Nothobranchius furzeri: one gene and its partners. The protein of the gene in region 2 interacts with the protein of the main gene of each other region in a pairwise test. Links are inferred from orthologs where the notes say so. Each region holds a gene or a part of one and is shown on either strand. Other genes may lie near its edges.

Region 1 (3,278 bases), on a different chromosome or scaffold from region 2:
CGGGCCAGGAAGGACTTCCTGTCTTCTACTCCTGAGCCTCCAGCAACCCCAGAGCACATACCCACCTGTCATTATGAAACTAAACCTTTTTCAGAAAGACGTCACCACATGCCTGACAAAACCAGTAGCAAGGAGTTTTGAACTGATTTAGCTGCAATCACACCGTAGAGCACATCTGCACAGTTCCTCATCACGCTGCATGGAAACTTCAGCGAATACTTTCTGGGTTTTGATGACACTTGTCAGCTTCTCCAGTTTGCATCAGCCATCCCAGAATATTTCACTTTACTGAGTTAACAGTAGCTGATTACCAAACCTATTTCCAGACAGTTGTGCAGGAAAGCCACGTGTCTCTGAATGTTCCGTTTCACCTCACTGATGGAAGGTTTAACACCGGATGTGATGCAGTGATCTCTACGGGTGTCTGCAGAATTTTCTCATTATTATGAGGCTGGAAATGTTATTTTTTCAATTAAAGAACTGGATAACCACAAAGCAGCATTTAGTTTTCATAAGGACATGTTTACACACTGCCTGGTCAAAATAGGTCACACACATCAATATCTCATTATAAATGTATGGTAAAAGATTCACACACACACCTGTTTGTAGTAATAATGGCTTTATTTCTCAAAGCAAAGCTGATCTGAATTTTAAAATGACAAATTGTACACTTTTAAAATCTTATTAGAAAACAAAAGTCAGTCTAGGACAATTTTTTTCCTCCAAACGACCAACATAAGGGTTGAGGTGGAGGAAACAGTTGCAGCAATACTTTCTCATTACAGATTTTTCCTCGTCTACCTCCACAAAAACACCTCCCTTTACTAGAGTGGGTAGTACAAAAGATCAACAGAAACGCATCCTGCAGCTTCAAACCACCGTGTTACACATGTATGAAATAATAAATCATAACCTGAGCAAGAATCAGAGACGACACAAATGCCACCGCAATTCATGGGTTAACGATCGAAGGCCTCTATTAGTAAAACTGACGTCACGTCAAATGTTTAGGATTCAGGAATAAAACATAAAAACAGGCAGAATGAAAGAATTATGTGTGACTAAAGCAATAAACAGCAGAGTGAAATGCTGAACACCACTCTAATGTTTTAGTTACTACCAACTTAACAACTAGAGCAGGAAAATGTATTAGAGCAGCTTCCTGGTGACATCAGTCGCTCTCAGGTTACAATTTTTGGCGAATAACGAGGTTGGAATAAAAAATAACACCATCAGGAGGGAAATTCCTCCTGTAGAAGACATGTACAGTACGCTCACTTGGTCAGTGTGTCTGTTTTATGTTACGCTGAGGCATGGCCCTAAATACATCTCATGCATTCGCTCTGTACAGTTGCAATGATTAACCTTTGACCTGCTGGTCCAACATCGCCCCCGGGCCGCTCTCGAGACAGTGATGCAGGTGTGTTGGAGTCAGAGACTCGTGGATCAGACGGCTTAAACTTTGTCACCTGTGCAAACATGGAAAAAGAGGTTTAGACACTAGAAGGCAGATCTGCGTCGTGTCAGGGTGCTGAACCTACTGCTGGGAACTGCCGTTTGCTGTTCGCCGCTTCGGAGTTGCAGGTAGATGGTGTAGGTGTCATATGCATAAATGATGCCCGCAAACAAACCAAAGACCTATAAAACACACACACACACACACACACACACACACACACACACACACACACACACACACACACACACACACACACACACCTTAAAGGAGGTAAATGGAACACAAAAACCAAAGAAACATCTAGTGTGTACAGGTTGCAGTTGCAACAACAGAACGAGGTTTCCAGCCATCAGGAAAACCAGGTTCGCTGACGCTACGTGAAATGTTTTATTTGGGTCCATCTGTTGTAGGCTCCACCTTAACTTTTTCTGGTTTTAGATCTTTTACGGTCGCTCCTCTTCTGAAAAGAATAACGACATCTTCTGGGTTCAGAAGCAGCTGCTTGACTTGCCGAGTGCGCCATCTTCCACAGTGCCAGCCTCGCTGTGCCGAACGGACCATAGACATGAATACGTAGACTATACGTAGAGTTGTGCCTTTTCGGCGCTCGGACCAAGTCTTTGGAATGAGCTGCCAGCCGACGTAAAGCAGGCCAAATCACTGGAGACCGTTAAAAGCCGACTGAAAGCACATCTGTTCTCGTTGGCGTTTGGACACTGAAGCTGGGATTGCATGAGCAGCATCACTTTGAATGTGTCTGGATCTGATTCTGGAACAAGGACTGATATGGATTGCGAACTTGTACTCGGGATTTCTTATTGTATTTTAAATGGTTATATGTCTGTTTTATTGTTGTGCTTGTTATTGGTGTACAGCGCTTTGTTTGTCCGGTTTGGGCATGTGAAAGCGCTTTATAAATAAAGTTGATTTGATTTTGATTTGAAATCACGAGATACATGTGCATAGATCCATTTACACACACACAAATCTAGATACACACACATAGATCTTTTGAGACTTTTTTCTCCCCATAGTGGACCCCCCATTGGGCGCTGGAGAGCGTAACAGCCATATTGGATGGGTCTCCTCACTCCAAACTTAGCTGGGTGAGCAACTATGCCGGGTTCTGTGCAGCCTATGGTTGCAACAACCAGCATACAAATAAAAGATCACGTGGGATCACTAGTGACTTTTCTAGCCTTCCCGAGAGGATTTTAAATATTTATTTCGTTTTATATTAAAATGTTTATTTATCAGGTTATACCATGTGTCTGACTTTGTGAAAAAGTTTGATAAAATGTGCTTTTTAGTTGAGTAAGCACCATCCTCAGTAGAAATGAATGCACTGGGGGCAAATGGAGACCCATCTAAGATGGCGGCCAGCAACTACAGCAGCTCCAATAGGCAGCAGCAGTCGACGGGGCGTCTACATATTTGTGTCTGTGGAGCGTACGGTTTGGTAACCCACAACGGTGCGCTCTATTGGCTGGTAGATGTAAACATAAAACCAGTGTGGTGCCCATCCAAATACATATTTATTCCTTTAATTAAAAGTGAGCTTTTAAAGAAAATGCTGTACCTTCATTCTGCACACCTGTAAACGACCAGTGGAGGCATTCTTTTTTAAATATAGCTTTTTATTAAACTGTTCCATATATCTGTACAAAGCATATTATGGAGTTCTTTGCACAGAATCCCCCTCACATGTTTATCTCAGCAACTTTATTCTTCAAAAGTTTGAGTCGTTTCAGGGCTCTGTCACTTTAAGAAAGCAAGCCGCTTCTGGCCAATCCCTGATTGGCTGCTATGAAGTGAG
Region 2 (3,654 bases):
AGCAAGAGAGACAGGTGGTACATATCTACAGTATCAGCGTTGGACCTACCAAGGATGATGGGAGCAGCAGCAAACACAGAGCAACGCAGAGTGTAGACAAGCCTGAGGGGGGCGCTATCAAGCAGAGGTGCATCAAACGGCAGGAAGACAAACCCGCCCCACACCAGAAATGGGAAAAACAGCGCTGATGTCATCAAGGAGACGCCCATTTTCAGGGCATCTCGGTCAGGGCAACCACAGTCACCTGAAATGGGTAAAACAGTGTCAGCAAGCCCCACCAGATAGGTAAAACATATAGAAACTGAGACCAAGTTTGGACTTAATAATTTAACACATTCAAATTCTTTAAATAATTTATCTATTTAGTCGCATCATTTTCGGCCCTCTGTCTGCATTAGTCAAGATAAACTAAGAACACTGTGCTCTTAATTTATCTTCCGTTTGAGGAACAGCAGCAACTTTTTCTCTAGGCTGAATTCCATATTCAACGACAAAAATGATAAACCAGCCTCATAAAAATATGTCAACTACTACAAATTAAATGTAGTTCAGGTTTTAAGGCTACCTTTTTCTTAGTGTCGGCTGAATTTAGGTCACTGCTAGCTAATTACACAAACAATCGGACAGAATTCCCGGTTTTCCCTACTTCTGGTAGGTGTAGCCGTTCACAAAATCAAATCAAGTAGTTTTTAAATGTCATTTCAAATGTTCATGACATCCAGCTGAATCAATAAATAGATATAAAAAAAAACAATGGAACAATGACAGAAAGGCCAATAGGCCAATCGGTGAAAAAAAGCAGGTACACTTACACTTGGCAGGGGGCGCGTCCTCGGCAAATTGATCTTGGTAGCCATGTTGGCTGTAGTTGTCTCCATGAGGACTCAGAAAGGGACTCCTCTCTGATTCCCAGACTTCCTCAGTGTCTCTGGATGACAAGGGGCAGGGGAGGACAGTTACAGATGGACTGAAGACCAGAGCTGCTTTTCCTGGCAGGTGGTTCTCTTCAGCTTCCTCCTTTTTTCCCAACTCCTCACCTTTAAGCTCCTCCTCCTCTCCCCCTCCCCCCCTTTTTCCTTGTTCTGTCTTCAGCTGTCGCTCACTTTCTGTCCAACTAGATGCCTCGCGAAGAGATGAATCGGACCTCACACTCATCCCGTCACCTTTAACCTTCTGTCCTCCCATCTGTCCTGCCTGTCTCTCTGTTTGCCCATCTGTCTTATGGTCTCCAGGCCACTGCTGGGTACTCTGTTCCATCGTGTTTGACATCTTTGCTTTGTCTTCTCCTCCAGGTTCTGTCCCCCCACTGTCTTCCATCTTGGTATCCCCTGCCAAGGGATGATCATGTGTCAGCCGAGACATCTCCATCTGTCCAAGGAAACAGAAGACAGTCTCCCTTATAACCAGGTAGCAGAAAGACCAACATCTCTGACCTTTTCCATATGGATGTGAATAAAACAGGAAGCACCTCTAACATCAGTTTATTTCAGTGGTGAGTTTTTGACTGTTTTACAAAATAAAATCAGACGGATTTTTGTGTGAACAGACTTTTTAACGTAAACCATCATCAGTAAGACAACCAAGAAAATTGGTCAAAAATTTGTAGTAAAAAAAACTTTTAGAAATCCTCTTAAATTTGACCCAGTGCCTAATTTTGCAGCTTGATATTAGATCGTTCAAATTCTATCTGTACACTTTTAATTCAGAAAGCTGAAAAATCTACAAACATCCTGGGATCAGATCTCTGATGGGAGTTTTATTGGGATCATCATTTCCTCCTGTTATCTAAGGTCAGGTTATAGAGGCACCAGGACCAAGAGCAAAACCCAAACCCCAGATCGTAGTTGACATATTAAATTCCCACATCTATAAATGTATATACATTCGTTCATCCATTTTATCTGAGTGCAGGTTATGGGGCGGCAGCTCCAGCAGAGGAGCACACTGTTCTCTTCCCGGCAACTTCCACAAGCTCCAACGACAGTATCAAGACGATCCCTAGCCAACGTGCAGATACAATCCCTGGTTTGACTCAGGGGCCTCCTACTGGCACGACACAGGGGCGTAGGTTTGGCATGGATGGAGGTGATGTGTCCCCACCACCAATAATTTGACCTCCTCCACTAAAAAACAAGCCATTCAATGTCTCATTACCCTAGAGGTGCAGAGAGGGTTAACTGACGTTCTCTCCTCATATGACTAGTGTGATTGGCTGCGCGTGCCATCACGGGAGACTCACGTGAGACAAACTACGCTGGTTGTTAGCAGCACCAAAGCTTGAAGGAAAACGTACCAGTCAAATGCAAGACCCCTGTGTTTGCAATGAGACACACAAGGCCGAAAGTGAGTGTAACCAAAGGTCCTGAGAGGATGGTAGACTTACAAGTTTCCCCCAATGTCAAATCTATGCGAATGCCTGAAACGCCTACGCTAATGCCTGAAACGCCTCATGTGGCTCCTCTCGATGTAGAGGAGCAGCAGCTCTACTCTGACGCTCTCCTGAATGTCCGAGCTCTCCACCCTGTCTCTATGGCTGAGACTGGCCGCTTAACAGATTCCTCATATTTGCAATCTTGTTCTTTTAAGAATAAGAATGAGAATACCTTTATTAGTCCCTCAGTGGGGAAATTGCATTATTGCAATGGCTCAGGTACAGCAGGATAGCACACAAGATATCACACAAGAGTACATAGTGTAGCGTGATGAATTGCCCATCTTTGACCTAAAAGGCCCTGCTCTATTTGCTCTGCCCAAGCAGAAACACAAGTTTCTGACACAAGCCTAATCTACAAGATGTGGGCCAAGGCCACTCATACTCTGTGCTCTTATCTAAACTGTTACTTCCCCAGACAGCACAAGAACGAAAAAAGAAGAACTCTTTTAGAAAGAACTTTTCTCTTTAAATAATAATTAAATAACTTCTGTTAGTCCAAATAATCATGTGAAGCTAATGTTCAATCAATGTGTGAAATGAGAATATTGATATTATAATCCTATGATAAGTAATATAAATTTAAATATTTACACTAGACTGATCACACGTAATGTTAAGTCACATGACACATTTCCTTTTTCTGATCCAATCAGAACCTTCCAGATCTGACGCGAGGCGTGGTTTTGTTGGTGCTTGTTAAATCGTCTTTTGTGTCAAATTCTGATTCGACCATTAATCAAAACATCCACGTTATAAAACTATGCCCCACGTCATCTTAACTGGAGTTCCAAGCGTTCTAGAGAAGTTATCAGAGTGGCCAATCCGTAACTTTCCTCTTAAAGCCGAAATAACCTAACGACAAGCTGGATTAAATCTGTTGCATGTTCCACCTGCTGCAACGGTTCCTTTAGAATAAAAGCTGAACCATCACGACCCCCTTCAGGGTCTTGCTGATGCCAATAAACTGTTGTGACCTGGGAGTAACTCAAGACTGGAAGGGTCAGCAACCGCTGCATATCTACAGTCGTCGGTTCCAAGAGGGTCCAAGCTGGACCCCCGACATTCCAGATCTAAACGGGGACTTCCATTGGGGTACGTAGACTGACAGATGGCGTCTCAATGTGTGTTATAATCTCCAAACCAAAGCTTAGAGCGAAACACCATTTCACTCCCATCAGAACTAATCGTTTCTCTGGATTTGCTGGTTCTGAACATATTTC
Region 3 (4,320 bases), on a different chromosome or scaffold from region 2:
AATTATAATTGTCTGTGCAGCAGTATTAGCTCACAAGAGACACGACACCCCCGCACCTTGCTTCTCCTCCAGCTTCACTGGCTGCCAGTCAACTTCAGGGTTCATTTCAAGATCCTGGTTCTGGTCTATAGGGCCTTACATGGACAAGCACCATCTTACTTTGGTGATCTTCTTAGTCCCTACACCCCCAGCAGGTCCCTGAGGTCCAGTGATCAAAGCCTACTGGTTGTGCAGCACCAGGCTAAAGACCAAAGGTGACAGATCATTTGCTGCTCTGGCCCCCAGACTCTGGAACTCTCTCCCCCTGAGCCTGAGATCAGTGGACTCCTTTAAAAAGCAGCTGAAGACTCACCTGTTCAGGCTTTGGTGTGACCTTCACCACCATCCTCTCCTTATTCTGCTCTTTCTACCAACTCCGCCTTTCCCGGGATCTGCTGATTTGCCTCTTTCCCTCTCCTTGCATTTTTAATCACAAAAAAAAATGTTTTTTTTTCTCATTTTAACCATGACTTTAATCATTTTTTAAAATCTGTTTTATTATTTAGAATTTTCTGTTCTTGTGAAGTGCCTCATGATTTTCATCTTGCACTATATAAAATAAAATTTTCTTTCTTTCTTTCGCTCATGGTAAACAGGAGCTACATCCCTCCTTCCTTTGTTTTGAAAAGTGAAAAACTGACAATCCCCGCAGCCAGCTGGATTGGAAATATGTTTCAGTATAACCTTCCTTTCAAAAGGACTGAAACATTAGACTCTTCTCACTATAAAATTCTCACTATATTCTTACATATATGCTTTCATACTCACTGCATATCCAGTAGAGGTGTTAAGCTTTGGAATGGTTTAGATGACAACTTAAAGAGTGCTGCTAGTCTATTACTATTTAAAAGACAATATAAGATGTCTGTTATTGAGAAATATGGTGAGAATATGTGATGGAAAAGCTTCTTGGTTTTATTCTGACTATGTGTTGTTATATAAAAGAACAGTACAAAATATAAAATGAACAAAATATGCATGAAAGGTTCATTAACAAAACATTTACTGTCAAAAAGTCTAATATTGTAAATTGTATAATATTGTAATGTGGGGTAGGTGCACATAAGCTTCTTTGCTTCAGCCTACTCCATTTGAGCGTTGTTGTTGTAATGTTGTGAATTTTGAAAGAATACAACAAATGTAACTGCTCAATGAATGTGCTGAATAAATAAATATTGCACCTTTAAGGCAGATTCAGGTGATGTTCATTACACCAGTTTTCTATCATGGATGACCTTAAACACAATTATAGCTTTCTGAAGTATCAAATGTTAACTCTTCAATACTAGTTAAAATTTAACTTACTTGGATTTATCCATGCAGAGAGTTTATTTTTATTTTATTAGCATAAAAATTATGATCAACCTACATTTATTCACAAGTTTAAAAAAATCTGCATGGCCTAATACTTGTTTGTTATCTGACATGATTTTATCTGGGAGCTAATGCACAGCACACAAATGACCACAAGCAATTGTTTCATGTAAGGTGGATTTCTCAGTAGATCCTGACGCTGCTGGAGCGTCTTATTATTTAAAAAACTATTTAAAATATCTCCTAAAAAGAAATTATCGACTAAAACCATCTTGAAGTTGAACAAAGATTATTATTCCAGTGTGTGCAAGTGTGTGTGCTCTCTCTGAAGCTGCTGTTATCTCGTTTGCTTCAATTGCCGTCACACCAATTTGCATTAAAGAGCAAGTCACCCCCTACAAGCAACTTACTTCACTCCCTCTTCATGTTTGAAAAACGCAACAAATGCCGTTGCCTAGCAGACCGAGAGGGCGGAGCCGCTAACAAATACACACACACAGGCTCACAATGGCATTGTGACATCATAATGTACCAGTTTACATCATAGCATACCTCTTAGCCAATAGCGGTGGCAGATTTAAATTCAAATGCAGTGCAGAGTTTTTACCTGACAACGGCACAACACTGACAGTTTTAGGTAGAAAATTAAAATTTTAACTAAAAAGCACTAAAGTGCTAAACTATTGACTACACGTGTCTGCAGCACAATTAGACACACATTTATGTAGTTTATCAGAAAAAAAGTTGATTTGGGGGTGACTTGCTCTTTAAAAGAACTTTATTAATAAAGTTTAATTGAATGTTTTTGAATTTAACACCACCTTAAAATTATGGAACTTTAAGAAAGATTAATTATTCAATCATGGTTCGGTATTTATTTGGTCTTGAGTTTCTGTGCATTTCCGTTATTGCCCTGACATTAGAAGTTGAGAATCTTTAATTTTTTTTTTATTAAAGCTTATTTTAGAACCTGCTCATCCAAAGACAGGTTGAGTCAGAACCACGGACAGCTCCACGGATGAGCGAGGAGACGCAGAGGAAGTGATCTGACGCAATGCTAGCGCTTACATTCATTGTACTGGTGGCAAAGATAAAAACAGAAGTTCATGTCTGATTGAACGTTTCAATATTGAGATGAACTAAAACAAAATAAAACATCAAACTGTAGCGCTGATGTATACGCTAGCTAGCTATATCGCTGAACTTCTCTACCGGAAAATAACAACTTCCGTTATAACGTAAAACAGAGAAAATTACCTAGTTACACACACCAAAACCATACTATAAAAGGAAACAACTGCGTAAATATGTGAACTAAAACAAACTAATTAAAATCCAGATTAGCCAGCGAGCCACTGAAGAAGCTCACGTTAGCTTAGCTAAATCAAGCTAGTGAGATACCCAGTAGATACATTCTAGCAATTAAATAAAAGTGTTACTCATATCCAAATGGCACTCACAGCTAGGAAAAACTGGGCCCGTTATGAAGCAGCGAATATCTGCCGAAGGAGAGGAGCATCATGCAGATATCTGTTATGTAGAAACCTGAAAGTCTTGCAGGGAGCTGCCTGCAGCGATTGGTCACGTTTACGTGGCTGTACCGCTGTGCATTGTGGGTAAATGCACAGAACATAAACAAACGGAAACAAGTAAAGGGTAAAAAATGCCTTGTAGTGAGTTTTAATAAACGTTTAAGAATCTTTTTAAATAGTTATTATAAAATAATTTACCTGAGGGGAAAAAAACAATTTTAGTGGACCAGGAAACGCCTCACCAGTCTCTATGACCTCTAATAAACATGTCTGTTTCACTAAAAAGGAGAATGTGATAGATATAGAGTTCATCATTGACAGCATTAGCTTGATGTAAGGATGTAAACTGTAGATTTATCATGGTAACTGTTGCAGGGGAAGATCTAGAAAAATTTAAATGGTGGTGTTGGGGGTGGTGCAAAAAATCTTGGCAGGATGGGAGTCATTCTCCATTAGGGTAAGTGACTAGCCTAGAAACCTTGATAAACTGCAGCAGAAGCAAGAGATTTTGCTTTGCAGGTTGGTCTAGCCATGCTCCATTATAGCCCCAGGCCCAAGCAGGTCTGCCATTGCCCGAACAATTTGAAGTCAGGCCACTCACAGCACTCCGTGTTGGGTGGACTTAGCAGAAAAATCATCAAGATGGTGTTGAACAGATAGAAGTGCTTGATTGATTTATTTAGAAAAATTATGCATTTTCTTCTTCGTTGACTGTGTATGGTGGACTGCCCTGTTGATGTTGTCGCTCATTGCTCTGATTGATTTACGCTCTGTCCAACTGCGCACAAAGACAGTTTGAAATACCACCATAGGTTCCGACCCTTCGGGTCATGCAGAGGCACCGCCAGGGATTTTGGGCCCCATGAAAAAAATAAATAAATCACATTGGGTCCTTTCACCAAAGAACATAAGCAAGGGCATCAGTTTGTTTTATAAAGATGCCAGGGATAGTGATATTAATTAACTTCAGCACAAAAACTGCAGACGTTTCATTAAAGTATGCACTGCAGTGCATTGACAGGTTTTCAAAATTGCCTTAATAATCAATTAAAAAACCTGAAAACTCGAGTTCAAACCAGCAACCTACCATTTGCAGGGGGATTGATTACTAAACCCCTGGGACACGTGTAGATGGGTGAAGATGAGTCTTTCTATAGTCTTCATCAGGTGGGAGGTCAAAGCGACTAGTCTATAGTGGTCTGGTTCCCTGGGATGTGATGTTTTGGGAACTGGAACCACACAGGAGGTCTTTCGCAGGATGAGGATCTGCTCCAGAAGAAGTCTCAGGTTGAGCATTCACAAAGCTGGTCAGTACAGTCTCTGAGGCAGATCCAGTCAGTTCCATCTAGGTTTGTCTTAATTTTAATTATTAAACTGAAAGAGTCTTACACTTAATTTCACTTAACCTTGAACTAGCACAGGCTTGTAAAACAAC

The links.
Region 1: the proteins of tmem79b (region 2) and plp2b interact in binary tests that used the Homo sapiens proteins (3 or more experiments, as listed by UniProt). The two-hybrid records come from large-scale screens. The link is inferred for Nothobranchius furzeri from reciprocal best matches to the Homo sapiens genes TMEM79 and PLP2.
Region 3: the proteins of tmem79b (region 2) and sec22a interact in binary tests that used the Homo sapiens proteins (3 or more experiments, as listed by UniProt). The two-hybrid records come from large-scale screens. The link is inferred for Nothobranchius furzeri from reciprocal best matches to the Homo sapiens genes TMEM79 and SEC22A.

Annotation. Positions count from the first base shown.
Region 1 is NC_091755.1:41,892,481-41,895,758, forward strand, and holds the end of plp2b (proteolipid protein 2b), read right to left. Parts: intron 1,642-3,278; coding exon 1,545-1,641; intron 1,473-1,544; coding exon 1,459-1,472; 3' UTR 606-1,458; downstream 1-605. UniProt on the Homo sapiens protein: May play a role in cell differentiation in the intestinal epithelium.
Region 2 is NC_091745.1:66,345,978-66,349,631, reverse strand, and holds part of tmem79b (transmembrane protein 79), read right to left. Parts: intron 1,369-3,654; coding exon 813-1,368; intron 245-812; coding exon 50-244; intron 1-49.
Region 3 is NC_091754.1:31,841,899-31,846,218, reverse strand, and holds the start of sec22a (vesicle-trafficking protein SEC22a), read right to left. Parts: upstream 2,950-4,320; 5' UTR 2,814-2,949; intron 1-2,813. UniProt on the Homo sapiens protein: May be involved in vesicle transport between the ER and the Golgi complex.